Lonchura striata: one gene and its partners. The protein of the gene in region 4 purifies or fractionates together with the protein of the main gene of each other region. This does not show direct contact. Links are inferred from orthologs where the notes say so. Each region holds a gene or a part of one and is shown on either strand. Other genes may lie near its edges. The genes, in order: EP300, FOXP1, ZEB1 and CTBP2.

Region 1 (8,107 bases), on a different chromosome or scaffold from region 4:
TGGCTCTAGATCACTAGACATTCAAGCTGCAATATTTCCTAGGCAGAATGTACTTCTGCCCCTCTCATAAATTGAGAGGTCAATTTTTGTCTTCTTTTCCTATTTTGCTCTTGTAAGGGAAGACAGCATGGCATGTTTGTTAGAACTATAATGTTGCATTTGCTAATTAAATAAAGTGGGGTTTTTGGGAGAACTTCTTTTAAGTAAAACCATGTGTTCCAGGGAGGAAACATTCTTCTGGTAAACAGCTGAGCCCTTAACATTTAGCAACATAACTGTGTTTTCAGCTATTGAAAACTGTGTGACCGAGGAAGCCTGTGTTTCTGAGACTGAGGACTGAAAGCATTTTGCTTGCTGTCAGAACGCCAACCCTTTCTTTTATGTATACGCTAAAAGCAAGAAAGAACCAACTATTGGATGGTTGCTTCTTATGGTTTTAATAAAATTTGTCTCATATCAAAATGCTGCTGGGTTTTAATGTTGACGCCGCACTGAGCAATGTTCTCTGCTTAGGCACAGCTAGCTCTTGCTTTCCAGAAATGTAGCTGCAGCCTGGCATTACTTGCAAAAATTGGAGCCTTAAATAATTTCCTCATTCCTCTCACCTGTGCCAGGAAGGACCCTCCATGCCTAGACCTCCTCGCTGGTAGAAAGAAGGGGGTCATTCCTCCTCCCTCCCCATCTGGTCTGTGAGCAGTGCTGCAGTGACATGAGGTAGCTAGGGAACAGAAGTTACCTGCCAGACATGAACAGCAGCCCTGGAAATCTCAGGGGAAAAAAAGATAATAGAGCTGGAAACTGCAAGCAAAAACAGGACTGAGAGAATAGGAGTGCCCTGTACCTGGCTCCTGCTTTCCATTCCAAGAGTCCACATCTTTCAGAGACACTCGAAGGGCCACAGGGTTGTGGGACAAATCCTGCTGAGGGGAAGCAGGGAAGTTTCATTTGTATAAATTATTTCCTGAGCAGTATTAGGGAGCAGGGGAGGCTGGCTGGGTGAGTTTGAGATGTTACACTGCTTCTCTATCCAGCAGCTGGAAGGGGAAGGCCACAGTCCCAGCTCCCTCTGGGCCGAAGGAGATTATTATTCCTCTGCCTGCTCATCCCACTGAAGCTGGACTGCTGAGCTCTGGGCATCACATTGACCTTTGCAGTACAAAGGGATCTTATCTTGTTCTTTGTAGCCCTCAAAGCAGCTGGGCATGCTTACAAATTTCAGTAACTACCAGCTAAGGCCAAACAAGATCCCACGATAAAACTTCAAGGCTCTGCATTCCTCTCTTATTGCTTTCCTGAGCAGATTCTCATTTTAACTGGACTTATGGTCCTTTCATCCAGTTATCTTAAAGTACATAATGACTACTGTAATTACTGACATTAATGAGCTAATCAATTCTTCTAGGCATTATTTTCAAGGGATAAATATTACTATCCTTGCTGTAAGAATGGGGAAACTGAAGCAAAGAGAAGTTTTTTGATGAATAGGTGTGTTTTACTTTTAATATTATAATATCCTCCTGGTTTTATTTTTATAGGTTTATGCATTTTCTTCTTAGTATGCTTTATGTTGTTATTGCTTTCCAGTAATGTTATCTGTCATGGGTTGTGTGCATGTACCAAGGTTCATTTAAGAAAACTGCAGTGATTTGAGAAAACTTAACAGATATTGAATAGTTTTTTGTCATTGTTTATATATATATATTTGATTTATCATAACCCTACTTTCCTGGCTTTTCCTTTACTTCCTCCTTCTTTTATTTTTGGTGCCTTTTTAAGGAAAATACCACAAATAACATTCTTTTCTATTTATTTTCCATATACTTCAGCTTGCATTTAAATCTCTAATCTGGAAAGCCATCTGAATATGACCTTTTAATGCCTAAAGAACTAAGATATTCTACTGGGTAGGAAGCTTGCAAAGCAGAACTATAGCTTTACTGAAGTATCAGTTAATCACTTATATATATATAATTAATATTCAGAAAACATATGTTGGTTTGGTAGCATTTATGTAAGAGTTTAAGTTTTCCACAGTTCAGGTATGCATCCCTGAACCCTTTTCAAGGATAGACAGACAGGTAGCCAGACCAGAGGGTAAACTGCAACAAAAACAAACAACCAAACAAACACCCAACAAACAAACAACTTTATTTTGTTTGCCAGCACAATTTCAGGTGAACTGAATGGTAGGATCTAGTCTCTAGATAGGAACAAGTGTCTCAAAACTCTTATTTGAAACATTTTATTTGCTCCCAACTTGTTGTTTAGTAAGGGCCTGACTTCTAAAAGCATTTAGGTGTTTATGTGCACTTCAGCATCTTTAAAAAGCCAGCACTAATTCCTTATTGAACTGTAGACTAAGGGTCTCCAGTCTGACAATTTTATATTGACTTATTTCAGTCAACTTCTAATTCTAATGAGACCAAAAAGTTAGTCTCAGCTGTGTTAAAAAATTGCTTCACAAACAAGAGAAACTGTCAATCTGAAAAAAAAGCAACAACAAAAAACCAACCAACCAAACAAAAACCCAAAAAACAAACCTGAGGTAACATAAAATCTCTATAACTGGCATATTTTGGGAAATTTAGAAACAATAAAAGGCAAAAAACCTGTGAAAACCACTAACATAGTTTCTAAGGTGTCACTGTTAAGTTTTAGGCTGTTAGTCCTGACAGCTTTAGTTTTGAGACTTTGAGACTTTTTGCACTACACATTATTTTCCCGAGGCTTATTTGTAGCGGCAAGGCTCTCTCCACCTCTCTTAACGTAGTGCCTATGCATTCAAGAATTTTCAGGAAGCCTAAATCCAATCTTTGGGCATTTTTGGAGTGGTTTGTGTTTTCCTTTTTGCGCTGGGGAAGACAAGAACAATCTTGTTTAAAATAAAACCCAAACAAGGGAAGCTGAAGAGTGGGAGTATGTGAGGGAGCTGGTGAATAACTTACAGGGCTGTGAATCTCCTCCTGCCTGTAGGCTCCTCTTGTAGGCTGCAGTATTGATTCTGTGTTTAGTCTAGGCTCTTCCCAAATACCTGCTGTGGCTCTTACGTGGATTGCAGAGAGCTCGTCCCTGAGGGTGAGCGGCAAGGGAAGTCCTCCTCGCAAATGTCCGGTTTTGGATCAACACCCCCTGATTCTCCATCCAAAACATGCACGTGCCTGCATTTCCCTTCCACTCCTATCTCGTAATGGTGTGCGGCCCGACGGAGTCCAAACGCACCGAAGGGAAATGCCGGGATCGGGCATTTCCTCACGGATGAGCCCTCAGAGATTTGAGGAAAACTCGTGGCCCGTAACCTGTGGGACGGCTCGGGGGCTGAGAGGGCTGGCGGAGGACCGCGCCAGTGTCACCTATGCCTGCGACAGCCCCTCTGATGGGCGGGAGCGCTGTCAGGACTCCGCGGTCCCTCGTACCGTGCCCTGCGCCATCCCCGCCACACGCTGGGGTCCGGCGGAGAGCGCGGGGCTTGTGGGCTTATTTATCCTTTGGCGTTTGGGGATTTTTGTCTGTCTTGTAACGCCGACGGGAGCCTGAGGCAGCTCTGGGCACCCCCGGGATGGGCAGTACAGAGCGCCGCCGGATTAGGAGGAATTTATTCACAGAAAGGGCAGTTAAACATTGGGAGCTGCCCGGGGAGGTGGTGGGGTTTCCGTCTCTAAGGGTGTTTAACGAAAGACTGGATGTGGCACTCAGTGCCATGGTCTGGCTAACATGGTGGTGTTCGGTCACGAGTTGGACTCGATGATTTCAGAGATTTTTTAATCTAATTGATTCTGCGATTGTGTGATTCGCACATCCACTCGCCACTTCGGGGGCCTCGGGGTGCGGCCCCGCTGCCCAGGCCCTTTGCTGGCTGGCCGGGTGCTGCCATGTCTGTGGCGCAGCACGGCCCGGGACCGGCGGCAGGAGGGCCCCGCCCGCCGGCGCCGCGGGGAACCGGCCGGGAGCCGGCGGGCGGGAGGGAAGGAAGGAGGGCAGCGAAAGAACCGCGCTCTTCCCGCCGGCGCCTCAGCCCACCGGGCCGGGCAGCAGGCACCGGGTGGTGCAGCAGCAGACCGGAGCGCCCACAAGGTCCGGCCAGGCTCCCCTGGGCCTACGCCGCGCACTTTTGGGCCGACAGATAAGGCCGTATGGGGCGGGGCAGGAAGAAGGAGCCTTTTTTTTTTTTTTTTTTTAAGGGAAAAACCCTTCGCCTTTAAGGGGCGAGGCCAGCGGAGTTTGCGGAAGAGCCCGGAGAGAGACGAGCGCTGAGTGGGTAAGCGCGGTCTCGTGACGGCGGCTGGGGCGGTGCCACGCCCCCCACCCCGCCGGCGCCCCGCGTTCCATTGTGTGCGCTAACGCCGCCGGGCCCCGCCCCGCCGTGTCCCCGCCCACGGGGCTGACCACGCCCCGGTGGCGGCCCCGCCCCCCGTGTTCTCTTGGCTCATTTCCGGCCGCCGCCGCCACCGCCGCTTCCCTCCGAGGGCTCGGGAGAGCGAAGGAACAACAGCCGCCATTTTGTTTGTGTGTGAGCGACGGAGGGAGGAGAAGGGAGCGAGAGGCCGAGCCGGACGGGGCGAGCCAGGGGGAGGGCAGCGCACAGAGACCCAGGGGCACGGACAGGGGACGGGGAGAGAAGCGAGGAATCCAGACTCCCCTCCCCCCCCCAACCCCAGCCTGCCCGTCCCCTCGCTATTCCTTCTCTTTCTGTTTCCTTTTCTCTCTTCTCCTTTTCCCGGAATTCTCTCTTCCCGCACTGCCCTCCGCCCCCGCTTTGCCCGCTCCGCACACACGCCCCCGGAGCGCCAGGCAGGGGCAGTAGGGAGCCTGCGCTCGGCCCCCGCGCTGCCGCCGTCCCGCCCCGGCCCCCCCCGCGGGGCAGCGCCGGGGACCCCCTCCCCCGCCCGGCCATTCCGGGGCGAATCCCCCGGCCTTCCCCGCCGTGATTTTTCTCCTGTTTTATTATTTTAATTTTACCTCTCGATCCTCTTCTCCGAGGGGTAGCTTGCGCGGCCTCCCCTCCCACCCCGACTTCCAACCTCTTCGCTCCCTTCCCCACCCTCGCAGAGGCGAAGGGGGAGTCCCCACCGCGCCCGAACAACAGCCGAGGGTCTCCTCCCTCGCTCATCGCGCCCTGCATCGCCCGTGGGTCCGGGGGAGCTGGGACGGGCAGCCCCCTCCCTGCCACCATCCTCGGCCGCCCGGGAAGGGGGAAGGTAGGCAGAGAGGGCGGGAGGGGCCGGCTTCTTCTTCCTCCTCCTCCTGCCGCTGCTGTGGGATCGGCCCCTCTGCCTGCGCCGGAGCGGGGGGGCAGCCTGCTACTGCGAACGAGAGAAAGAGGAAGGGGGAAGAAGAGAAAAAGAGGGGGCAGAAGGGGTGTTGAAACCCGCCCCCCACCTTCCCATCCCGCGATCGGTGCTGCCTCCATCAGGACAACAACCCCTCCTCTTTGCCTGCACAACAAGATGTGAAGCGGAGACTCCTGGGACTTATCCTCACCCTCCTCATCCTTACAGCTCCCCTTTCTGCAGCCATTAGCGACGGGCGAGGAAGAAGCGAGTGGAGCTGGGGACCCCGCGCACGCTGTGCCACTCCCCCCCGCCGCCTCCCCCCCAGCCCTGTCGCTGGCGGTGGGTATTTTTTCGCAGGGTGGTGTTGGAGGGGGAAGGAGCCGCTGCTAGAGGACGGTGATCTTTTTTTCTTTTTTCCTCCTCCTCTCCTCTCCTTCGCCCGCCTCCTTGTGGCGATGAGGAGGAGGAGGACGGCGCCGAGGAGGAAGAGGCTGATGGCGGCGGTGAGGAGGCAGCAGGAGGAGGAGACCCCCCGAAGGATGAAGATGATGATGGTGGCGGCGGCGAGGAAGCACCAGCACAACAGCCGGGATTAATTTTACTAAAAAAAAATTAAATATTCACCAGCCTCCATTTTTAATTTTTTTTTCCTTTTTTTTTTTTGGCGGGGGCTTTACCTGCTCTTCCCATCTTCGTTCAGCCCTTTCGCCTGGGGGAAGAGGCCTCACCCCCGCCCGCCCCAGCTCCCACCTCTCCCAGATTCTCTGCTGCCGCCCTCCCAGAGCCCGAGAAGCAGAAAAAGGGGAACTTGGCCCCCCTTCTCCGCCAGATCCTCCTCCTCGCTCTCGGCCTTATTGTTGTTCTTCAGCTGACTCCGGGCCCCAGAAGACCGTGAAGGTTTTGGGGTTCACCCCCCACCTTCTTTCTGCTCTGAGCGATTGTCTAAAAAATTAAAAATGGCCGAGAATGTGGTGGAGCCGGGCCCGCCTTCAGCCAAGCGGCCTAAACTCTCCTCACCGGCGCTCTCCGTGTCCGCCAGCGACGGCACAGGTCAGTCTCGGGGCCCCAGAGCCTCCCCGCTTCTTGGTGCCGCAATTACTGCCCCTTTCTCCCCTGTTTTGCTTAAATCTCCTCCTCCCTTTTGCTGCTGTTAGCTCGAGCCTGCTTTTCTCCTTCCCGTCTGTTTCGCCTGTTCTCGCTCCGTTTGAAGCTATTTGCGTTAATGGCATAGGGAGGGTGTTCGGATGTTTTTGCCCTTCTGGTTTTTTGGAAGTGATTGAGAGCAAAGCTATTCAGTTTATTGTGCTTTTGATCAGCTGCAGATAGGACTTAACAGTTCGTCATTTTCGTGTCTTTCACAATAATAGCTTAGCTCCTTGCTAAGCATAATGCCAGTTGCAGAAATACGAAGTGCTAAAGACGATGCTTTTGTACACTTTATTGTTGGATTACGTGTGTGCGCACAAGTTTCTTGGTTTTGTATTTTATTTTGCATATACGGGGTTCTTCTAGATCTTGTTTAAAAACGAGATTTATTTCTCTTGCTGTTTTTCTTTTTTCTTATATGCAGTCTGCATATATGATTTACTTCTTACAATCCTCCGTTCTTCCTGTAGAAGTGTATCAAAATACTGCTTTTCTGATTCAAATAGACCATCGGCTTTAGGAAAAACAGCTAAAACCAAAATTCAGATGCCATGCTTGTGGCATAAGGTTTATTGAGACTTATCTTCTTAGAGATGAAATTTTATTTCACCTTATTTGCCTTAAGAATCAATATGGAGTGTAGTTAATCTTGCATCTCCTGTTTCTTTGCTGCAAGACCAAAATGTCTGAAATTCCCCTGTAGACTTAAAAGCTGTGAAGAGAAAAGGGGCTTCTCTGCAGTCCTGCCAAGGTCTTTGGTGATGCTGGGAAGGCAAGCTAGGACATGGAAATTTTAGGTGACCCAGTCCCCAGCAAATATTAACTGGTTGTACTGGGAATGGGGAGGAAGTAACAAAGGGCTGTTTTTTAATATTTCTTGCGAAGCAGATGAGTATTTGGTGTCATTTTGCTATGAGAATACTCTGTTACCTGGAGTTTCTTTGAACTCTCATTAGTTCCCATTAGATCACATTAGAAACTATTAACCTATGGGATATGGAGGAGGCCTCCTCCTCCTGCCAGTCTGGTGAGTGGTGGCATTTCTGAAGGCACCCGTGCTCTTGTTCAATGCAGTTAACAACTGGCAAGAAAAGGGAAGAGTTGTTTTCTTGTTGTTGGTTTTTGGGGTCTTTGTTTTGTTTTTTCTGAAAAGAGATTTTAATAGCAGGTCTTTGAGCAGTGGATGTGGTTCTGCTTGGGATCATCTCCAAAATTTTGATTTTGCCTATTCTATTCTCGGTGAATGATGTATTAGTTTTGAAAAGTTTGTGTGTGACTTTTAGTGCATATTAAATACAGCCAATATTATGTTGTAATTGGAGGACATGACTATTCCTAACATTAACAGGTCTCTAGTAAGAGAGTAGAAGAGGGTTGGAGAAGCTACTCTTAAGCGAGAACTAGTTGTTGGCTGTTTTTTTGCTAGATTTGGAAAACAGTGATTAATTCAATAGTAACCGTTTTAAATTTGTCTTGATAGTGGTTATTTTGCTCTGTTTAGAGAGGTGAAATAAAAATATTTTGTGAGAAAAGTTCTGATAGTTTAAAAATATGCAAGCTAAAGGCATATTTTGATTCAAATGAACACACATCTAAGTTCAGACATTTGTGAGCAAATAAAGGTTGGATAATTCGTGTATGTATTGCAGTTTAACAGGTGTAGACTCTCACAGAATACTTAGTCTTCAGTT
Region 2 (7,981 bases), on a different chromosome or scaffold from region 4:
ATTACCTAATGTCACCTTAGGATAGGTCTGTGGCCACCTGTCACACAGCAGCACATCAAGCTGGAGATGCACAGTCGGGCTCTCCTAACCTTTGTACCTCCTCCTGCTAACCAGGGAGCTGGTTCTGGAAAAGACCTGGCCTGTGGAGTGCTGCAAACTGAAGGGTAAAATATTAATAAGCCAAAGAGGAGCTGGAAGTGTCAGTGAGGCTCCTGCACAGTGCAGCCATGGGGGAGAGTGCTGCTGGTCTCCACACAAAGGGAATGGCAAACGGTTTCTCCACAGAAAATTTCACCCGACCAATTTTTTTGCATGCAAAAATGCAGATTCAGCAGCACCAAAACGGTCTGTGCACACATGCCAAACTTGTCATTTATAAAAACTCAAAAAAGCTCTGACAAATGCTGAAGCTGTTAGTTTTGACACTTCTGACATGAAACACTTTGATTTTTCATTTTGAAACTACTTTGTGTTCAAAATGTCCTTTAATTTTATTTTCAAGCAAGGGGGTGTGTGTCTTTTTTCTTATTCCCCCAAAAAAATCAAAATTGAAATGAAATCTTCAGATTGACTCAACATGAAATTGTTCTTGGATTTTTGATTTCACAAGGCTTTTTTTTCTTAGATGTGTTTGGCTTCAAGTCACTTCTTTTTCACCCCCAAAATTTGCCAGTTGGTTTATCAAGAACCACAGCGAACATCAGTCCCTTTGAAGGGGCGCAGCTGCCACAATAGAATATTTTTTTTTCATGGCTGTCAGTTGCAGAAAGAAGGGAAAAAAAAAAAAAAAAAGGAGCCTTGCTTTTGCTTTCCAGGAGATTGAGTTCATTTTCTATCTGACAGGGATAAATAATAAACAGTATTTTTTTCTTTTTCTGCTGTAAGGGATTGTGTTACGTTATCTGTTTAAACATTCCGTTACATTTTAGTAATGTGAATAATGATTATTCCTGTGCTTCTGAGCTCTCTCGCTTGGCTCGGGCGCCGGAGGTTCAGGAGACACCTGGCATTGTTGACAGAGTGCTGAACTTGAACGCCTCTCACTGTGACAGGGCAAGCCCAAATATTTTGGGAAGAGTCCTTGTTATGTTACGACAGGGGTTGGTAGCACTGATGCTGGGGACAGGTTTTGCTTTAATACAGAGCTGATTATGCTTCATTATTCAGGGAACAGCGTGAACTTGGGCAGGCAGGCTGCTGGGAGAAGGAGGATTGCACTTGGGCACTTCATATTTGTAGGATGTGCTGAAGGTCTTCCAAGAGATGCTGTCTCTTAGAAGAGGTCAGTATAGGAGGTCCTGAAAGATGTTTTTCTGTGGGTGAGAAAGTAGAAGAAATAAAGCTTTTTTTTCCAAATAATATAAATGTTTAATGAAGCCCCTACGTGTAGACAAATACCTGGGGAAGAGCTTGTATTAAAATACCTTTTAAATCATATTTTCTATCCCTCAAGGTGGTGTTTGCTTCCTACAGTGTACATCTTCCCTCTTTGATTGGTTTCCTCTCCTGAAGTCAAGCTGCATCTTGGCAGTGCTTTGTGCATCTCCAGTGCTGCACGAGTGTCCAGCACGCGAAGTTTCATCAGTCATGGACTTTTAGCAAGATTGGATGTGTCCTGGAGTTTGCCAATTCACGTACGGCACGTAATTATATTCAGGAAGCAATAGGAATTAAATGACATTAATTCCCATGAATATTCATTTAAGAATCTCGACCAAATTCAGGCAGATTAATAGTCCAGCGAAAATACAATGGCTATTCATTGCCCCCACAGGAAAAGGAAATATGTATTGGCTGGCAGCTCAGGCCAAATGGAAATGTGCTATAGAAAAGTTATCTCTGGGTGGCTTCTGGTACAGTGGTGGCTGGAGGGACACCTCCAGGAGCAGAGAGGATTACTGTGGGTATGGATGTGGGGAGCCTTTCCCATCCACTGGGAACCCAGAGGAGTCTGGGGTGAATCCAAGACTCGTGTCTCTGCACTGCCTGTGCAAATCCAAACCAGCTCTGACTGCAGAGGAGCTTCTCTGGACTCACAACAGAGCAAAATGTCATTTGTTCTGTGCCTGACTCCCTCTGCCCTGTGCGTGGAGCCAGGCTGCAGCCTGCTCTGCCTGCATCGTGATGCTGCAGGGCAGCACAGCTTCTTCTTTCCCTTACACACAGCACCAAGCTGGCTGTGCTGCTGGCTGCCTGCTCTGCCACAGCCAGCCCAGCACCAGCCCTCGGGGTGGCTGTGGGGCAGCCCTGTCCTGCCAGGCACCTCCTGGCACATGGGAGCTCAGTTCTGTTCCAGCTTGTCCTCCCAGCACAGGCCAGGACATGGTTTCTACTGTGGCCAGGGAAACTGGGAGAGAGTATAATAGCAAAAGCAGATGAAGGATGCAAATACATTTGAAACGGAGGGATCACAATTTGGTATGCTGGAAACCCCCCTCCCCAACAACAACATTTTATTTAATTCCATTTCATTTAAAAAATATCTAGGTTTGGTTATAGCCCTCATTTGGAAGAACTTTTCATTTTGTCAGACAAGCCAACTTGAGACCTTAGCTGTGTCACATTATCTCTTTGTGGGACTTCCCCGGTTGGAGAACAGATCCACCTTCCACTAAAGTTGGTGCAAGTGCTGCTAGAGCATGGGGTTTAGTCTCTAAGCTGATGTTTACACCTTTTAAAATTCCCCCTCATAGGCAAGTTGACGTTTCCTACCCTTGAAGTTCTCTGAGCTAAAGAAAGGTCCAGTTATTTTACAGTGCTTGTGTACCATGTGGGCAGAGGTGCATTTTCTACTTTTTTGAAGGTTATTTTTTGCCAGACTGATCTGACTTGCCCCGACTACACCAAAAACAAGGAAATGTGGAGAGCAGCTATCACCATCTTGCCAAGAAAGAGTTTTGCCTCTAGTTGCAGTATGAGCATACTCACAGGGCTGCTTCTTCTTGTGCTTATTTGAAACAAAAGTCAGATAATCATAAAACCAGGCTGTAAATCCAATGTACATTTCTCTTTACGTCCGCCAACTTTTTGGGGCAGTACATGGTGTGTATCTCATCTTTTCATGTCTGATGTAAAAGGTAAAATAACAGCTGAGTACCCACATGGGCTTTGCACCTACGCAGGAGTGCCAAGTGGGCCAGGAACCCGCCGTGCAGCCTGGTGATGTGCTCTGCAAAGCCTCATAAACCAGTGACTAAGGCAGAAAGGACTCCAAGGCCTGGCTCCTGGGACATTGGAGGTGTGGCATTACAGTAGCTTGGAAAACATTCTGACTTTATAACAAGTAACACCTATAATTACAGAGGCGTCATCACCTTCATTTTTTTTTTTTTTTTTTTTAGCTAACAAGCTGTAGTTGTAGCCTGTATACATCCCTGCCAAAATCTGCGAAGTATTTGCTCTTGGGATGGTTCTACCGGTGGTGGGAATATCAAGCATCTTTCTCCAGGCACTTGTAAAACAATACAGCAGTAAACAATTCAAGCACAATTAGCAGCTACATAGGCAGAAGGGGAGGGAGAAGTCCCACCGCTGGTACTGTCTGTGGAATTAATCATGTTTTACAGAGTTGATATACTGGTTTGGATGTGTGAAGTTAAAAACAAGAGATGAAGAAGTAGCCAATAAGTGTTTATTCGAAGCTGAAATTTAAAACAAGTATTGTTTCATAGCGGTAGAGAGTGTTTAAAAAATGCAATTTTAACAGGTTTTGCTCCATTTTCTTCCTACTGAAGAAACAGATGAACTAAAAAATATAACAAGATGATGTTCGCTTTTAAAGCTGGTGGTCCCGCCAGGTCACACAAACCCCGGTGTCTCCTGCGGTACCGGAGCTGCAGAAGCGGGATGCTGAAATCTCCGCTCCCGGCTCTCGCCCGTTCCCGGCCCCGAGCGCTCCCCGGTCTGAGCGCACCGCTCCGGCAGCGGCGCGAGCATCACCTCCGCAAATATTTATTTGCAGCGATTTTCCGCTCTTAATTATTTAAAATATAATGAATTACGCATAAGTACCTCGCTATTAGGGTAATTCCAGGTCTTAATTGCTGCCGGAGCGGCTCCCGCCGTTCCGCCGGGAGGTGGCGCCGCGGGCCCGGCGCTGCTGCCGGAGCCGCCGGGGCCGGGCGGGGGACCGGGACCGGCACCGGGACTCGGGGAGCGGCTGGGCGCAGCGCGGGGCTCCCGCGGGCGCGGCTCGCCCCGCGGTAGCGCTCCGGACGGCGTGTGAAACCATCGCCCCCGGCCCCGGGTCCGTCCTGCGGGCAACCACACGAGTTCGCCGAAAAAGCAGGGAGGGAAGAAAGCCGGGCGGGTCAAAGAAAGAGTTTTTTTTCCCCCGAACGAGTCGGTCGCTCGGTAACTTGGCGGCCGCCCGCTGACTCCCGCCCGCAGCGCCGGGCAGGACGCGCTCCATCCCCGCGGGGCGCCCGACGAGCGACCCCCGTCCCGCCGGCGCCGCGCTGCTGCCGGCAGCGGGCCGGGGTCCCGGGCAGGGCAAGGGGCTGCCCGGCGGGGCCGCTCCCCTCGCCTGCTCCGGCCGCCGTCAAGCGAGCCCCCGCGCCGCCGGAGGTTCCAAATCCATCGGTGCTGTTAAAACTCGCGGCGAACGAGTGCCGAAGCCGCAGGGCTGGGGCAGCCGGGTGGTCCCGGCTCTGCCCCCGCGGGCGCTGCCACCCCTCTCCTCGGTAGCCCCGACGGCGCGGCCGGAGCGCTGCCGCTCCGCGCACCCACCGAGATGCGGACCCACTGCCGCGCAGCGGGACCCAGCCCGGTCCCCGGGACGGTCAGTCCCGCCGAGCGGCCGGTGCGCGCCGCTGCGCACCCGCGCAGTGTGTCTGAGCGGTGTTTGCGCCCACAGCAGCGGGCGCTGCGGGGCGAACGCAGGCAGCGCCCGCTTCGCCGCTCCGCGCAGGTAAGGCGGCTCCGCGGGTACCTGCGGAGGGCACTCCGGGGTCCCCCGCATGCCTCAGCTCCGCTGGCCTGATGCCCCGCTGCCTCCCGAGCGGCCGCGGAAAAGTTGGTAGGGGTGCGCAGCGCTGCGCGCCCGCCGACGGGGCGGCCCCGGCCGGGCGCTGAGCTGTCCCTCGGGGTGCGGAGGGGCGCGCAGGGATGCGCAGCGCTGCGCACCGCGCTCCACCGCCACTTTCGCTTCCCCGTGGGGCCGCCCCGCCTCCCCCGGCCCGGCCCCCCCCCGCCTCCCCGGCCGTCCTCCGCGGAGCTCCGCGCCTGCGGGGCTCTCGCCCTTCACCCCCTGCGCGCTTCACCCCCCGCTTCTATTATTTTATTTTTTTTTTATTATTATTTTTCCCTTGCGCCGAGCCTTGTTTACCCAGCAGGTGGATGTGACGTCAGAGACTGACAACAGCAAAAAATAACAACATCTCCCTCCGCGGGGGTGTCGTGGGCCGCCCCCGGCCCGCCCGCGCGGGGCTGCGCGGGGCGGGGAGGGGGCGCGGGGCGGCGCGGGGCGGGGGCGCGGCGGGGCGGCGTGCGGGGCCCGCGGGCGCGGCGCCGGGCGGAGGGCTCTATTGTTATTTACCGAGCGGCGGAGCACGCCGCCGCGCCGCCCGGGCTCGGCGTGCCGGAGGGACGGGAGGGAGGGACGGGACGGAGGCAGCCCCGCGCCGCTCCGCGCCGCCGCCCGCCCGCGCCGCGGCCGCGCCGTGCTGGGCAGCGGCAGGGCCGAGTCCTGCGGGTGAGTCCGGCGCCCCCCGACACTTTCCCCGCTCCTCCGGGGCTGTTGCACTTTTCCCCCCGCCGGCCCCACGTGCCCGGCCGCCCCTCCCCGACCGCCGCCGCGGTACCGGGGGGGTGGGGGGATGTGGGGCGGCGGTGCGCGGATGCGGAGCCCCCTCCCCGGGCTGCGGGGCCGCCCGCACCCCCTCCCCGCCCACTTTGGAAACTTCCCCCCCGCCCCGCGCTGCGCGCACTCCCCGCCGTGGTGGGATGCGGCGCGTCCCGCCCCCCTCCCATCCCTGTTCGTGCTTTCCGCGTGTTTTCCGCCGGGTCTCTCCGCGCCGCCGCGCAAGGGGCGCGTACGCCCCAACTTCGGCGCTCGGAGCAAGAAGTTGCGGTGGGGCCGCGCCCCCCCTCCCCCCCGTGCTGTGCCCGGCTGCCCGTTCCCCCCTTCCCGGGCACCTGTTGCGGCTTCACGCCCGCGCAGCCCCTTCCGCAGACGCGGAGCCCCGCGCCGCGCATCCGCCCCCACCGCTGGTCCCTGGGACGCGTTGCGCCCATCCCCCCTCCCCTCTATTTCTTCTTCTTCTTTTTTTTTTTTTCTTTTTTTTTTTTTTTTTTGAAACGAAGTGTTTGAATAAACACCCGCGCCTCCTCAGCTCAGCCCGGCGCAACTTCTCACTGCGCGGGTGCGGACCGCGCATCCTTCACGCGCGTGTGTGAGCGCACGTCCCCCTCCCGCGCAGCCCCGCGGTGCGGAGCCTCGGGACGGAGCCGCGGCTCGCTGCGCGCCGCGGAGCCGCCGCCGCTGCCCGGTAAGTAGGGCCGCCCCGCGCACCTGCCGGCCCGCGCTGCGCGGCCGCGTCCCCGGGCAGCGGAGGGGTGCGCGCTGCAGGCGGCGGCCGAGCGGCGTGTCCGCGCCTCTCTCCTCCCCACCCCCGCCCCGCCGGTTTGTGGGTTTCTTTCTTTCCTGGAAAAAAAAAAAAAAGGCAACAAAAAAACCCAAAACAACAAAAACCCCAAACCAAGCCATCGAGCGGGGCGCGGACAGCTGCGCGGGCAGGGCTCCGCGGGGCGCCGCGCAGCCCCCTCCGCTCCGCCCGGCAACTATTAATGACCGGGCGGCCCCGGCGCGGACAGCATCGCCGGGCGGGCTGCGAGCGCCGCGCTTTCAGCGACTCTTCTGCTGCCACTTCGCTGTAATGATTTTAATTGCGTGTTTTTGCTTTGAGTGAACCAAGCCGAGCGCGATTACTTTTTTTTTGTTTTTCCTTTTCCCCCGTCCTTTTCCCTCTGAGCCTGGCAGCGGCGGCAGCGCGCAGCCCTCCCGTCCCTACCCGAGGCATCTGCCGCCTGCGAGCGCTCTCTGAGCCGCTTCTGTAGAGAAGCTAGAGCTCAACTTCCGTGCTCAGAAGTTTAAGGTTTCATTTTTAGTAACTGTTCTCGGAGTGAGTAATGGATGTGTACTGCTCGTAGCGTGGCGTCTGCACCATATAGCCTGCTGATTTCTGGGGTGCTGGATGGTTCTAAATACTAAAACAGTTCTCTAAACTGTGTTTCCTTTCCATACAGTTTTTCTAAACTTGGATTTTACTTGATTTGACGAAATGTTGGTGTCACTAGTGACAGATGCTTAATTAGACAAAGTTGCAAGCATGTCATCAAAGAAACTTTTTTACCTTTGCTGTTAATCCACGGCTTACTTTTAATATTTTGGAAAACAGGCATTTTGCTCGGTTTAGGATTATTTTTGCAGTTTTTATTACTGCTGAACAGCTCTTACGTTTTATAAGTTTGAGAGAGCCTGAAATAACTCAAGTTCCCAGAGAAGCGAGTGTGGGCAAGGAGGTACCGTGCATCTCGGCAGCTACATTTGGGGGAAGACAGGGAAATCGGGGCTACTCGTTTCAGCTTCTCTCCTCTGAAGCTTTTCCCCTGCACATTTTGTTTGAACTATCTCCCAACCATATTGAATGGACCAGGGCACTGGGGGAGGAAGCTCTCCACTAGTTACCATTCAAAAGGTGTCGGCTAAAATCTCATTGCAAAAAGGTATTGTAGCTTTAACATCTTGCATTGGCAGCATTCTTCCCCCTTAGTCTTTGGATTAGTCATTGTATGAGAGACAGGAAAAAAAAATCACTTTTTTTTTTTTTTTCTGGAAAAAGTAAAGTAAACAGCCTCCAACAAGTGAACCTTGACAACCCAGATTAAGGAAGGCAGGAGAGATCAAACAAAGCTGCTGCTGGGCTGTTGTCAGGAGCTGCCTCACTGAAAGCTCTGGACTATTCGATCAGGCAGCAAGGCT
Region 3 (7,559 bases), on a different chromosome or scaffold from region 4:
TGTTTGTGCATTGGCCAGAACTAAGGACAATGACACAGGGTAGTTTTCTTCAGGTAGGAAGTGCCAGATTTCCTTGTAAGTGGAGGCTTTAATGGCAGCACCAATCGGCTCTTTGCTGACCTCCTGTAGGGACCAATAAACAAGGCAGAAAAGGAACCAGCTCCAGAGTTAAGATGATAAGACTGTCTTTCCAGCTAGAGTTAATGTGCCAGGATGACTCCCAAACACAGAGAGAAAGCAGAGGAAAGAAGGAAAAAACAAAAGTCTACAGTGTATGAATAGCTGTGTTAAGTTTAACAAGAGATAAAAAGAAGTTTACAGTATAATAACTCAGTGCCATAGCCCAGTATTATTAACAGGCATACTGGATGTCTAGTGCAATCTCTCTGCAATAATCTCATACTCTGTGGGAAGGTGGAGAGGAAACAGCATAAAAAACAGCTTTTATTTTTTATACTACAAACTAGCCAGTTGCTTATGCATCTCCCCTATGCCCATTCTTCATTAACAGAAGATACCTATAAGAACGAAATGCATTCTGCGACTTTGGGAAAAAAAAGCCTCATACTTACTCATTTTAAAGGTTAAAGGGTTAACATTTTTTCTATGCATTTTCTTCAGTTAATATTTGCAAGTCAAACATAAACCCACTGCTGAGAAATGTCTATTATCCAGATTCTATTATCTAACAGATCCTGATGTTCCAGTGCACAACGACTTAAGTTGGTTTGAATTCCTCAGTAAAAGGAACCAAAAGCAGCCTAAACCAAGACATACTACATTTTACATTACAGAACTAGTTGATAAAGACTCTGAGGCTCTTTATAATAAAGTGGGCGCAGCAATAAGGTCCAAAAGTGATGAAGATGAAAGATACCTGGAATGATACCACATCTTATACACCTTTTGTTTTCTGCAAGTGATGCACGCTGCAGACAAAACGGTTTGTGCTAAACAGCCTTAAATCTGGTTTTCTAATATTAAGCACAAAGGAAAAACACTGACAGCAAGCATGGTAAATAAATCCCTCCCTTGAGAATAAAAGCAGCAGACAGGAGGGGGCTGACATGCATGCAGGAGAAAACTAAACACCATCTTTTTTTTCTACCTGCACAAGTTGTCATTTGCTGCAGCAATCAAGGATCTATTTTTCCCCGTCGATTTCAAAAGCCAGGTTTTCAGAAAATTTCTCTGTCAAGTCATCTGTTGATCTGCTTTAGGAGTATGGTATTCATATCACTGGATCTTTAAGAGAAAAATCCATTTTCTTTCCTGTTCAGGTAAACATGTTTACAGCTCCTGCACAGACGCTGGGTGGTTCAGACTCACATGTCACACATGTTGTCGTCAGCAACAAGAAAAGCCCCTTTCTCTGATCATCCACATTTTTAATAAGGTAAAGAGAAAAGCACTTTCCAAACTTACCTTTAGCACAGCCAAATCACGAGCCAAATATAAATATTTACACCAAGACAAGGAATTAATAACATGAGCGTGCAAACAAGAATACTTGCTAGAAAACGCAGACAGCAGAAATAACCCTTTTAAGTTCAACGCAATCAAACCAACCCGTTAGCCCCTGGAAAGGCTGTCATTTATCACCGCGTTATGCCCCGAACACTGAGAATTGGAGAGGTGAAGCACCGATCGTGACTCCGATCTATTTCGGAGACCGTTCACTGCATATGAAAACATCTCAGATCGCAGGCAAAGCCTTCCTATCTGTAACCCTGCACAGGAAATGCCACATAAAACCTAAAATTGCCAAGGAGGGTTACAAAATCGCCTACTCTACATCCTATTCCGAAGAGTCGTGCTACGAGGACCGAACTACTTCTCCATTTTCCAGAAAATAAGTAGAGAGTGGGTGTTACGAGCCTTTATTCCCCCCGCCGTGTACCTTCCCATCGCATCTTAAAGTAACACACGTACCAAAGGGGAAAAAACACCACCCAACAGCAGCCCTTAAGCCTGAAATGTACATGTAATTCCTTATATAGACTGCAGCAGCTGGTCACACACGCACGGAGAGCGGAGCGGGGGCCCCCGGCCAAACCGTTACCACCCATTATTATACAAACAGGTACCTCCGAAGCCAGAGGGAAGGGAAGAAACTTCGCCGCCCGCCCCCGCCGCCCGGGCGCAGCCCTCCCTTCCCCAGCGGCCCGGCGGGGCGGCAGCGCGGCCGCGGGGCGCCGCCGGGCACCAACTCTCGGCGGGGCGGGGAGGCGCGGAGCGGGCGGGCGGGCGCGGAGCGGGGGCGCCGGCCCGGGGCGGCCGCGCTGCCCCCGCGCGAATCGCCGCCCGCTGCGGCGGCGGTGCCTCCCCCGCGTGTGCTCCCGGGTGTGTCCCCCTCGGGGACGGCCGGCGTCCCCCACCGCCGCCCCGAGAAAGGCGAGCGCCGGCCGGGGGCGAGGAGCCGGCCCGCCGCCGGGCGAGCGGGCAGGGAACTCCGCCGGGCGGGCAGAGGCGCTCCCGGGCGGGCGGCGGGGCGATCCCGCCCGCGGGGCCGGGGGGAGGCCCCGCTCCGCCCGGGGCAGCGCGCAGGTAACAAGTTTCGGAGTTGGGGCTGCCGCGGCCGGGCGGGCGGCGGCCGCTCCCCCGCCGCTCCCCGCGGGGCTCGGCGTCCCCGCCCGGGCCGGAGGGCGGCGGCGCGGCCGGGGGCCCCCGAGCCCGCTGCCGGCGGCGGGGCGGTCGCGGGGCTCGAGGGGGAAGCAGCGTGTAACGGTCCCGGACAGCGGCGGAGAGCGGAGGCACCGCTAGGCGGAGGAGGGAGGCGGCGGCGAGGAAGGCTGCAGGTAGCGGATATAACGGTGCGGAGGGAGCCGCGCTCCCGGCGAGCCGCGGCGGGGGAATTACTTTGGCGCTCGCCCGACCTCCCCGCTGCGCGCTCGGGACGGCTGTGCCCGGCCCCCGCCCCGGCCCCGCCGCCGCCCCAGCGCGGCCGCGGCGCTGCCCCGCGGGTGACTGACCGTTGTTGCGGCGCGGGTTCGGCTGCTTCCTGCGCTTACACCTGGGGCCATCCGCCATGATCCGCTCGCTGGTGTCTAAATGCTCCAGTCACCTCCTCCCCCGCCCGCCCCCCTCACTCCCTCCCCTCCCCCCCGGACCTGGTTTACGACACTGGGTGGTTTTACTTTTACATCACCTTCCTACACCTAGTGCTCGCCCGGAACCTTGTTGCCACGGGAGACGGGCGCTTTACGGCAGCGCGTTTGAACGGCGGCGAGGGAAAAGTTGCCCCCGCAGGTACCGGGAGCGGCGGCGCCGCCCGGCGGGGCCCGGGCCCCCGACCCCCGCACCGCCGGCAGCGCGGGCGGACCCGCGGAGCGGGACGGGGTCGGCGGTGGGGTGTCAGTGGTCGCCGGCCCCCCGGGGCGGCGCAGGAGGATCCCCGCGGGGCAGTCCGCGCTGAGGGGCCGCCGCCAGGTGCTCCCCCGGCCCGCGGGGCTGTCCCGGCGCGGGGCCGCTCCCGGCCCGCCGCGCTCGCACCTGGCCGGCGCACCGCGGCTCCGCGGCGCTCCTGCCGCGCCGAGCGGGAACCCACCGCCGCACCGCCGCACCGCCGCGCCTCGAGTCTGCCGCGCTCGGGCTGCCCTCAGTCGTGCTGGCCGGCTCTGCAAAGAGGAGGAGAGGTATAAAGTTCTGCGCCGTAACGAACAAAAAGAAGAGAGCAATTTTTCACGGATAATTAATAAGCAACCTCGGTTGTACTTAATAAACTTATTTAATGTATATAAGAATTAAAACCATCAAACATTTGTGCTATTTTTTTACTCTTGTTTTTCACTTCAGGCAATAAAATAATTTAGTAAGTTTGCTTCTATGCTTCCTTATTTCTATCTCTCTCTCTCTCTCTCTTTTTTTTTTTTTTTCCTTTATCTTGGCATGATTTTGTAGAATTTATAGTTCTGTGCTTCTGGGGAACTCTTTTATCTAAAGAAATTCAATGTAATTAAATTAAATTTCAGTGAAAGCATTTCTCTTAATGGGATACTTTCAATAAGACATTGATGCACTAGAAAACTTGAGTCCTTCAGCTGTTCTACATTGCCCTATTCCACAAACAATATATTCACATTCTGTGAACAAGAATTCACATTCTCATTTCATGGAAGAAGCATAGAACATCTATAGGAAATGAACTACTGAACACTGCCCGTTTATCGGCGTACCTTGCATCTGAAGCTCCCACAAAAGTCTGGACAATCAGAAGTCCTTAAAAAAGAAGTATTGGGCTATAATGGGTGCAGATTTAGGTAAAGATCCAAAGGGGTATTTTCTTAATCAATTGTATCCTCAAAAACCCCTAAGCCTTGGCTTTGAATACTTATATGAAAACAGTGGTTGCAAGTACAAATCACTTGTCTGTTAGTTCTCAAAAATCCTTTAAGTTTACATGGGGTTTTTTTTCGCATATGTGTCTTTACTCAGTGATGGTTGGCTGCTGACTTCAACATTTTAATAAGGATCTACCTAAGAGTGATGAAAGAAGCTAATCAAACAGTACCAAGTGCTTGATGGACTAACAGAGTCATTCAAAAGCATCAGATTTGGCATCAGTTGGGAGTACTGAACCCCAAATATGAGGATGGCTAAGTACTGCAATATGAAACTAACTATAAGATAAAAATGAAACTTGTCAGCTCAAATTTTGAGTGAGCAAATTACACATTTTAAGGGAGAGTTTTGTTTTTAGTTCAACATCTTTGCTTGTAAAGTTTCTGCACAGAAGATAACCTGTGGCTGTGAAACTGTTTGCAAATGAGTGCTTAAGGTGTTTTGGAATTGTTAGATGCTTTTTATCATTCTGTGGATGAATTTGAGGATGAACCAAAATACGATATACAGGTTTTCATACAAAGTTTTTACTTCCTTAAATTTAGTCATGTTCTTAGAAGGTAGTTGCAAATAATAAATAATATCTGTAAACTTATTTGTAAATTTGTAAGAATATTCTCCTGCATGCCCACACAAAGTTCTAGGCCCTCTTTAAGCAACTTTGAAGAGCTTATTTTCATTGAGTCTTGTCACTTTTCACCTCTGTATAAGAACTCTTGTCTCTTCCTTTTGAGCAATTCATATTTCCTAACAGAATAAGAAGAGAAACAGTCTCCTGGTATTTGTTGTGCTCATTTTCCAAGAGCCACAGTGTCTGTTTGAACTTGAATCTCCTGAGGTTTCCAAGCAGCTGGGAGAAACTGGTGACAACTCCTGCTGCCCATTAGTTTCTGAAGAGCAGAACTGAAACTGGCAGGAACATTGCTAGCTGTACACTGCTATTATTTGGATAAGTGAGAAGAGAAAACCAAAGCAACCTTGGTATACATTATCTTTGGGACCATGGAGGTCTAGAAAATAAAAAAAAAAATAAATCAGAGATTAATATTTTGCATCAAGTTATTGATGATTGCAATTGTGAAAACTAAATGGATATGTAAATAGATATGTGGACAGGTTGGGTTTTTGGGGGTTGATTTTTAAACTTTGTTGTATTTAATCCAAGCAACTGGGCACTTCACATCTTTGTATAGAAAATTTACTGTGCTAAATTAAGGGAGCAGCCACTGTAAATGAATTTTTACCTAATACATTCTTCTAATACTGAATGCAAAGCAACTAGTTAAAATTCCTATTATCTTTGTTATGTTCTGCAGTACGTGAACATGTTGTATGTGTAATTTAAACTGGTTTGTGCCTCAAGAATGGAAAATCTGGTTTTCCATTATGGTGCACAGCTTTCAGTCTGATTTGTCAGTCAAAGATGCAGGAATTAATTAAGATATTCATTTGTAAAATCTTAGAGAAGAGGTATATATCTGCATCCTCCTAAATGAGGCAGTCTTGAGAACATATCTCTTTAAAGGAGGAATTCTAAGACAGTGGTCATCCATAACAATTTCTAGTAACAATTTATATGGGAATTTATGCAAGCTAAATAAGCATATTGTAGTTAAAACACGAGATTGCACAGCTGCTGTACTTCACCTTTTTTGAAATTTATTTCCATTGTTTGAAGACAAGAATTAAAATATTTCCATAGTCACACTGTTGTATGGATGTTCAAAAACCAGGTTTTTCTTACAGACAGTTTTTCCCGTGTTAAAAATGTTCCTGTGTGTTATGTTACGATTTATGATCTCTTAAATATGTACCATTAAATAAAAGCAATCAGTCCTGTGTTTGTATCTACTCCTTATTGATGCTTACGGAGTTTCACACTGTATCTTGAGTATTCTGGATTTAAGGGTGTTCATTTAGTTTAATGATTTGAGAATTACAATGGAAAACAACTCAGTATTGTTTCATGTGTATTGTTTCTTGTTTAATTTCTGATTTGTGGAGGTTCTTTTTTTTTTTTTTTTCTGATTTCCATTAGTGAAACTTTGTTTTCAATTCCATGTATTTCTTGGAATCTCAGTTTCTAAAATTGATTTTTCAGTTGATGATTTTTTCTTTTAGATTTTTGTTAAATGCACTTTTACTCCTCTATAGGAATTGTAGTTGAAAGATTTGTTAGGAGAACAGTGACACAGAAATACACAGTTTGCTGCAGATGAGGAACTAATCTTGAATAACATGTTAATTGTTGAGGTAACAACATAGAAGTGTAGTGCCCTTTCAGATGGTCTTCCAATTTCTATTTATGCTTCCAAATGAATCTAATAAGTTTTGAAGGTGTACCCTCAGATGCTGTACAGTCTCAAAAAATGGTATATCTGCTTGAAATTTTCCCATTCATTTAGAGCAGGCTGTAAATATTTATCATGGGAAATTACCTTTTTTCACTTCCCTCATCTCATAATTTTATTTTCTGTTTTCATACTTTACTATGAATTTACTTGTTCATTTAAAGATTGAAGCCTATAAGATCTAATAAATTGTCATATCTTTACACAACTTGAAGAGATTGTACCTGCTGAAAAGATGTGAGGGTGTAACTCTGACATAAATCATCAATAAGTACATAGCTATAGATAGGTATAATGACTTGCACATATGCAACTGACTTTTTCTAACATCTTCCTTATTAAGGAAAAGTGTTTGTGAAGGTCACAAAGGCCTTCAAACCCATTTTGTTTCTCTTGCTCTCCCTTTGCCCTACTTGTTGCATATTGTTTTTCTCTTGAAAGCAATTAACCTGTGCTGATACCTATGTCAGGTTAGTATGCTGTAAAAAATGAATGTACTAGAACATAACAAGGACCATTCTCCTTCCATTCTTATACTAGCTTTCATTGTGATCTCAGTTTCAGAGCCTTCACACAAGCAAAAAACTATTTGAGAAAAAACTTGAAAAGATAATTTCATGTTCTTCATCCAAAAGGCAAATTTCATGTATTCAAAATGGAATTGAAATGAAAATTTGGGTAGAAGTGGTGGAGGGTGAAGAGCTGTGGGTTTTTTTTGTTTGTTTTCAAAATACCTGGAACTTCAGATAAGAATGTCTACTTCAGCACTTTTTTTTCTACCAGTAGATGCAGTAGCAAAATACTATTTTTTAAAAATTGCATCTGAAGTTGTGACTGATCAACTTACACTTGTAGTGAAGTTAGATT
Region 4 (7,458 bases):
GCTGATCTAAGATGATACACTGCCTTTAAGAGCAATTTTTTTCTACCGGTGCAATCCCTCACACTGGATGACATCCTTACAGTAAATAATATAAAAAGTGATGTGAACCATCCTCCTAATGAATTTGCTTTCACAAGCCTGATACCAAATGTTGGAATTTTGGCTCACCACTAGAAGTAATTGTTCTTGATGGTGCTTATACACGCGTGTCAGTCTGGTGTGAGATTAAAACTATAAGAAAAACAATGCTTCTTCTAAATTCTCAGCTCCAGAACAGTTTACCAAATATGTTTTGGAACAAATCCATCTCTGGTTTGCATCAATCACAGGAGTAAAATGAAGGATGTGCTTCTTTCAATCTATTTTCAAGTCAAAATAGGGTGCTGATATTAAAAGTGGAGTATGTGAGAAAATAAACCAGTCAATTTCTCCATTATCCAAATTTACACTCACAAAAGCCTTTAAGGAAAATGCCTTACTATATTCATATTCCTGCTTACTGGAATTGTATTACAGGCAGATGAACCAAACTCTTGACTTACATTTCTAGAAAACAAGTGTTTCCTGCCAACCATTTGTAAAAAAACCATGAGCAGCTTCTCAATTATTGTAATGATTATCCATTATAACCTAGCCAGTGTATCTGCTCCAAACCAGTTACATTTTAAAAACTGGTAAAAAAATCAATTATTGTAATGATTATCCTTTATAACCTAGCCAGCGTATCTGCTCCAAACCAGTTACCTTTTTAAAAACTGGTAAAAAATAAATGGGGTATTGATGCTGGTGCTGGATACTCAGTGTTCCTCACATCCAAATCTCATTTCTAACGATCAAATGCGGCTCAGAGGGATCGAGGCAGGATTTGTGTCTGCCTGTTCCTGCCTAGCACCGAGTAACTAAGTTGCACAAACACTTGGAGCAGTAAAATAACTGGTCTATTCTAGTCAACAGATACTCTAAATCTGCAGGGAGAGAGATGCTGGCACTGAAATTTATGTATGCACTGAGAGTCATCCAGCTGAAGTCACCGCGACTCCTCGCGCTACATAAAAGCGACGCAGCAGCATCATCTTTGCAGGATCAAGGCCCACATTTGCATCTGCAAATCAACCCTTTTATGAAAAGCAGGCTGTAAATTTTATTTATTATTATTATTATTTTTTTTAGTTCCTCGAGGCGTAGCAGTGCAGCAGGAGGTGCTGCTCCCAGGCTGACGTGTCGGTGAAGTGTAGAGGCAAAGTGTGATTTGCTCCCGGTTGGTGGAGCCTCGTGTGATGGGTGCTCAGCTGCTCAGAGCCAGCATGTGGGTCAGGAAACAATATCCCAACATCACCACTCCCCTGAATCCCCTGCTCAGGGAAAACAAGTTATTCACGAGAGAAGCATGTCATCCTTTACTAAAAATAATTACAAATTCATCAAATAGAACCAGCGCAGACACAGGGGCTGCAAACTTTCTGTTATGTTTTAGTGATAAAGCTGCAACACTGGGCGAGCAGCATTATTGCAGCAAGGGAGGTGAGCCCTGGCTGGCAGGGAACAGGGGCATCGTGTAAATCCTGCACCCCAAACACCCAGTTCTCATACTGGAGGGAATTGTAGGGAGTGCATTTTTAAAAATTCATTTGATTTCACAAAAAATTATGCTGGAAGAGCTCGGTCCCTAATTGTTACCAGGAACTTTTCAGTACAGCTACTGATAAATTAAAATAAATGGAACAGAGGAACAGCTTGGATTTGCTTTGCAGGCATCCCTCAGCAGGACTGGTTTTCTCCCAGCAGGGACTATCAGCACAGCCATCCCCAGTGAGTCCATAAGCTTGGGTGCCTCAGAGAGGTGTGGAACCTTTCTTTTCAGTAACTGCCTGAAACATCGGGCTAGAAGTTGGGTAAAATCTAGAAACAACCTGCAGGAAAGAGGCCAGGAGAGAGGTCTGGTCTGTGCCTGCACACAGCAGAACAATCCTTCTCTTGGGCTTTTAATTCTTCTACTTGTCACAAAACTGCTGCTCCCAAATTCTGGGAAGCCAAAACACCTGATTCTGAGCACACGCTAAATTTTACACAAACCAGTGAGGCGCTGGAGGAACTGAAGCTCCTTCAAGGTTGGACAGCAGCTGAATGGAAGTTTTAAAAGCTGCAATTTGAAGTTAAACCCCCGTCGTTCCAGGCCTCCCACTGAACCCACTGTGTATCTTCTTTCCGAGCATCTCATTACAAAGGCTATTTCACACTTGATGAATGTTCGATCGCAATCCAAATAGTTTGAAGAAAAATCCACATGCCTGAGGATTGCCCCCTGCTAAACTTGAAGATGTGTAGCTTCAGAGCTTTCTCCTTTACAACCTGTAACCTAATTGCTCTGGTAATGAAATAATTATTTGTGTCTTTGGCCTCAACTTATGTCACTGCTTTTGTTTACATCATGAACTCAGGGTTATTTATGGGAAGCAATTGCTGTGTTCCTACCCGGCACCCCCACACACTGTGTGTAGAATGTTTAACAAAGCAAATTGGGTAAAGCAAAGTGAGAGCAGCGTTGTGGTGTAAAAAAATTCCCACTGCAATGCCAGGAGCAAGGCCTTGGTCAGTGCAAATCCCTTCATCCACTGCGCCCCACGTGCAAAGGAGCTGCCCACAATATTTTGACAGTTAGCAGTGCTGCCCATGAAGGAAATCCAAGAAGTCCCAGTAATATGGAAATTGTGATTTTCATGTTGAGGTTTCCTCCAGGCAAGCAGAGTTTTCCCTTTAGAGGGACTTTTGCCAAAGGGAAAAGTGCAGAATCAGATGCATCTTTCAGCTGAAAGCTGCTGAATCTTGCTAAAATCTGCGTTGAGGTGCCTGGCTGTAACCACATCGTGCAGAGCCTGGGCATCACGGGGTGGCCACAGCTGTGGCCATCTCTGCACTGACACCACGGGGAATCCTGGCTCCAGCTTCTGTGGGACAGCGGCAGCAGCCCCGGGCAGCAGGTGCTGGGAGGACAAATGATGGACGTGGCACAAACATCCACCGAGGACGTACAACGTGCTCCTAAGAATCAAGATCTTTAGGCCCTTAACCGCGTAATTCCACCCACAAAAACTGAAGCTCGCTTATTTATTCTGATGGACAACTGAGCTGGTTCAAGGGCTTTATTAGAGTGGAAAAGGAATGTACTGTTTCCCAGGCTGATTGAGAAGCACGGGATATATATATATATAATGCAGGACGCTTGATGATTATACAACAAAAAGATGGGATCACCACCTGCCCACATTCTTGTGATAAGCAGATGAAGAACGTCTGTCCGAACGCTAATTCCCAAATCTACGGGGGTAACACGGAGCACAAACACAGACGCGCCGAGCGCGCTCTCGTTCTCTCGCAGCCGGCCGAACGCCCGGCCGCGATCACCCGCGCTCACACCGACCGGGGGACGCGGCAGCCCCTCGGCCTGCGGGATGTCAAACCCCCGCTGCCCTTCATCCGCCGGCCTGCCGCGCCGCTCCGGCCGCGCCGCGGGGCCGGGCCGGGCCGGGCGCGCCGGGGGCCGGCGGCGGTGCCGGCGCTGCCGCGGGGCCGGGCCGGGCCGCTGAGCGCGGGTGGCCGAACAAAGGCGGCGGCGGCCGCTGCTGCTGCCGCCCTCCCCGCCCCTCCGCCCAGCGCAACAGGCGCCGCGCCCCGCGGAGCCCCTTCCCCGCCCCCGGAGCCCCGCCGAGCCCCTGCCCTGCCCCGCACGGTCCCGCTGCCGCTCCCCACCCCCGGCGCCTCCCCCGCCCCTTCCTCGCTGCGTCTGTTTGTACTTTGGCTGATCCACTAATCCCCCGAGAGAGCCTATTTGTAGTGAAGAGTATCTATAGGGGGCGAGGCTGGTCCATGTGGGTTTGTGTCATTGGTTTGTAAGGAGAGACCCCGCCTATTGCCAAAAAAAAAAAAAAAAAAAAAAAAAAAAAAAAAAAAAAAAGAGAGAGAAAAAGAAGAAGGGAGCGAAAAAAAAAAAAAAAACAAAAAAAAAACGAGGCAGTGAGAGGAGAGCCTCTACCTCTCCTCGCTCTCCGTTCACCCAGCGTGGCGAGGGGGAGCGGCTGCTCCGCCCAACGCCGCCCGGGCACTTTCTGGCTTAAAAAAAACCCCACAAAACACAAAAAAAAAACCAACCAAAAAAAAAAAAAAAAACCCAAACAAAAAAGGGGAAAAAAAAGCAGGAAAAAAAAGAGGAAGAAGGAAGGGGGGGGGGGAAGAGCGGCCCTCCCCCCCAAGTTGCAATTAGCATCCTCTCCACTGCTGCTGCGGGGCTCCGGTGCCCCCGTCCGCTCCCGGCGCGGCGGCGGGCGGAGCAGGAGAGCGGGGAAAAGGGGGGGTGGGGGGGAAGGATTAAGTTTTTTTTTTTTTTTTTTGTGCGGTGTGCGAGCGGGTGGCGTTTTTAAGGTGGATCTCCGGCAAGCAGAGCCCGGCGGTGGATGCGGGAAGGGATGCGGCGGTGAAGAGCGGCGCGGGGCTGGCGGCGGCCGGGAGCAGGTAAGGGAGCGGCGGCGGCTGCGCTTCCCGGCGAGAAGGACAAGGGAAAAGCGAGGACATCTTTGCTTTAGTCAACCTCACCGGCGAGGGGGACAGAGGAGAAGGAAAAAAAAAAAAAAAAAAACCGAGGAGGGGAGGGTAGGTGGAAATGTGATGGTGGAGGGAGGCGGCCGCGCAAGTTACGCGGGTGGGCGCGGAGCGGCGGGTGAAGTGGGAAATCTTTTGTTGTGCCGGGCCCCGCATTGTTTACTTAGTGCCGAGAGCCGCCGACAACATCTGCCGGGGGATTAACGGGGCGGCGGCGGCAGGAAAGTTTGGGCAAGGGGGGAACCCCGCGGTGCGGCGCGGCCGATGCTCCGGGGGACGCGGAGCAGCCGCCGTCTTGCGCTGCGCTTATAATTTATTTTTTTTTCTGGGGGGGGGGTGGAATAGTGTATTTAGTTATTGCCTTTTTTCTTTTTTAATCGTAATTTTAGGTAGATTACGGGGGGGGAATGGTTTCGGGTTTTTTTTAAATTTTAATTTTTTTAAAAATTATTTTATTACTGCTGAATAACCGCGCTCGCCGCTCAGTCACTTAGCAACTCTCCACGCTCCCAAGCCGCGGAGGTGCGCGGTGTCCGCGGGGCCGCGCCTCGCTCCTTCCCTCCCACCTCGTACCCCTCCGCCAGAACTCAGAATAATTTCCCCACTATTTATTCATTACGTGTATTCCCCCCCACCCCCCGATTTGACCATTTTAAACCCTACCCTGATATCACCAGAATGGAAAATCAGAGGGGGTGCGTGGATTTAGGCGCTGAGATTGTTCTTTTCACACCACTCCGCCCCACGATTAAAAAAAAACCCAACATTTCCCCCCCAAACTTGCAGGACTTGCTGAGGGGGAAAGAATAGCCTTTTGTCCTGCCGAGGGACGTGCCCCCAAGGTAAATCCTGGCTGGAGCTCAGCGCCTGGTACTTTGCCGGGTCCCAGGGCTCTGGCTGTGCTGGGGAGGAGGAAAGTAGGAGATGGAGATCTCAAAGTAGTAGAAGTAATTTCTTCTTTCAGCTGCACTCCTGCGCTGCCTTTGAATTGCCTGCAATGAATGTACGTAGCTCTAATTGAAGTACTTTAATCATTCACACTTGATTAAGTATACCGTGACCAGAGGAGAGGAATCCACGCGGCGCCCGGGAACGGGAGGGATGGGATGACATTTTAATCCTGTGTTTTAGAAAACATGAGTGGGGCAGGAAAAGAAGCGGTGACGGTTCTGTGTAACGGTCCCTTGTTTCCATACAGATGGTGCCTTTCCTTCGGGATGAAATCGCAGTTATTGCCGGTATTTGGGGAGGGGGGAGGAAGAAAAGGCACGTACTTCTAGGTTTGTTTAAGCAGAGTGAGGAAAATAATGATAGACGAGATGCCTGGTGACAAAATGCTTTTGTTCCTGTTTCCATCAGTGCGTAAGGGCGCCGACCTGCTTTAGCATTCTTTAAAGGTCTGTCTTTACCAAGGAAAATTGAAGATGGTCTCATTATAGGAGAGTGTGTTTGGAATACTATGAGGTATTTATGAATTCAGAGGTGATTGTTGGATCTCAGACATTTCAATTACGCATCCTCTAGTAAAAAAAAAAAAAAAAAATTATTTGTAGCGATGTGTTCTGTAATCTGTTACTTCCATAAAGCTGATTTGTGCTCGAGCTCCGTAGCTGGCTGAGGGAATGGGTCCGTCCACGGGGCTCGAATCTTAAACAAGGATTTCTGTTCTTTGCCTCACAAAACTTTCTGCTGCAGGGGCAGCCTGAAGTTCCCATAAAAGCGATTCTTTGGGAAACGTCAGCTATCGTCAGTATTTTCTGGAAAATCTGGCGTTGTGAATGCAGGGTGGTATTTTTAGAAAGGAGCTTTTTATTTTTGGAGGCGTTTGTGAAACCCACCTGTTAGCCATTAGGGGGGACAGAGGTTGGCTTTCATCGTTAGCAAACCCTGCGCATCTGGGGGCTGAGGGCTGTTCCTCACTTGATCCAAGCTCTCTCCAGTCATGGGCAATCAAAATATCTTTCCTTTTCAAAGTTACAACCAAGTGTTTCTGAAGCTGAACAGAAAATAAGGTGGTTCAGTCAGAGTGGTGGCACTCTCCTGTGTTCAGGAATACGGATTGCAGGAGCGTTTCACTCTTCCTTTCTCTCCTAGAATTTCAGAGTGAGATGCTTCCCTGGTCCAGGGTTGTATGGCCAATTTTATAGTGTACAAATCATAGATGATGTTTTCTTGCTGTCAGCTTTCTATCTTTTTAAGGTAGTTTTCCAGCCCATGTGGATCTGGGGGTTTGGCTGGCAGGGTGGCTCCAGAGCTCGATGCCCCCTGGAGCTGGCAGCTCCCTCTCCTCCCTCCTCTCCTCCGAGGGCAAAGTTGTGCCCTTTTTCCACTCCTGCTTTTCCCAGATGGAAAGCACTCAAAGGAATTTCCCCACGGCAAGAACTGCAGCACAAACTGTCATCTTTAACGCTGGCACTTCAGTACACAGATTTGTCACTGGGGTCTGGTGATAATATTCCTTGTATCAGAAAAAAAAACATCAGCCTCAGAGGGGGCTGAGGTCTCAGGCATGAGCTGGGAGTAACATACTGATGCCTTTGGCCAGAAAAGTTGATTTATCCATCAGGCTGGCTGCAGTTCAAATAAAACTTCTTCAGTTCAGCTGACTCTGGCAAGAATGAAATATACTAGTAAAAAAAAAAAAACTCTGAATCTGGGTTTGCCCAACCATTCGGAAAAGGTAGGTTAATTTTCCCTGGATGTTTTGGGTTGTTTATTAGCTGTGGAATTGAAAGAGGCTTCGTGTTTAAAGCAGAAGAAGTTGAAAAGCTGCTCAGAACACAGCACTGGCAATTGGCAAGTGTTTTGTTAGGATGTGGTGGATGATGCTGTCTCATAAAACCTGATGGGTGTCACATTTACTCC

The links.
Region 1: the proteins of CTBP2 (region 4) and EP300 purify together in Homo sapiens (affinity purification with mass spectrometry; 5 studies listed by BioGRID and IntAct, with this or other methods). This does not show direct contact. The link is inferred for Lonchura striata from reciprocal best matches to the Homo sapiens genes CTBP2 and EP300.
Region 2: the proteins of CTBP2 (region 4) and FOXP1 purify together in Homo sapiens (affinity purification with mass spectrometry; 3 studies listed by BioGRID and IntAct, with this or other methods). This does not show direct contact. The link is inferred for Lonchura striata from reciprocal best matches to the Homo sapiens genes CTBP2 and FOXP1.
Region 3: the proteins of CTBP2 (region 4) and ZEB1 purify together in Homo sapiens (affinity purification with western blotting; 5 studies listed by BioGRID and IntAct, with this or other methods). This does not show direct contact. The link is inferred for Lonchura striata from reciprocal best matches to the Homo sapiens genes CTBP2 and ZEB1.

Annotation. Positions count from the first base shown.
Region 1 is NC_134607.1:24,935,642-24,943,748, forward strand, and holds the start of EP300 (histone acetyltransferase p300), read left to right. Parts: upstream 1-4,906; 5' UTR 4,907-6,226; coding exon 6,227-6,320; intron 6,321-8,107. UniProt on the Homo sapiens protein: Functions as a histone acetyltransferase and regulates transcription via chromatin remodeling. Acetylates all four core histones in nucleosomes. Histone acetylation gives an epigenetic tag for transcriptional activation.
Region 2 is NC_134614.1:20,739,279-20,747,259, reverse strand, and holds the start of FOXP1 (forkhead box protein P1), read left to right. Parts: upstream 1-4,891; 5' UTR 4,892-4,909; intron 4,910-5,622; exon of another isoform or gene 5,623-5,692; intron 5,693-6,293; exon of another isoform or gene 6,294-6,488; intron 6,489-6,853; exon of another isoform or gene 6,854-6,872; intron 6,873-7,981. UniProt on the Homo sapiens protein: Transcriptional repressor. Can act with CTBP1 to synergistically repress transcription but CTPBP1 is not essential. Plays an important role in the specification and differentiation of lung epithelium.
Region 3 is NC_134603.1:142,312,415-142,319,973, reverse strand, and holds the start of ZEB1 (zinc finger E-box-binding homeobox 1), read right to left. Parts: upstream 3,086-7,559; 5' UTR 3,031-3,085; coding exon 2,973-3,030; intron 2,188-2,972; exon of another isoform or gene 2,088-2,187; intron 1,542-2,087; exon of another isoform or gene 1,125-1,541; coding exon of another isoform or gene 1,109-1,124; intron 1-1,108. UniProt on the Homo sapiens protein: Acts as a transcriptional repressor. Inhibits interleukin-2 (IL-2) gene expression. Enhances or represses the promoter activity of the ATP1A1 gene depending on the quantity of cDNA and on the cell type.
Region 4 is NC_134609.1:29,530,436-29,537,893, reverse strand, and holds the start of CTBP2 (C-terminal-binding protein 2), read left to right. Parts: upstream 1-4,385; 5' UTR 4,386-4,506; intron 4,507-7,458. UniProt on the Homo sapiens protein: Corepressor targeting diverse transcription regulators. Functions in brown adipose tissue (BAT) differentiation. Isoform 2 probably acts as a scaffold for specialized synapses.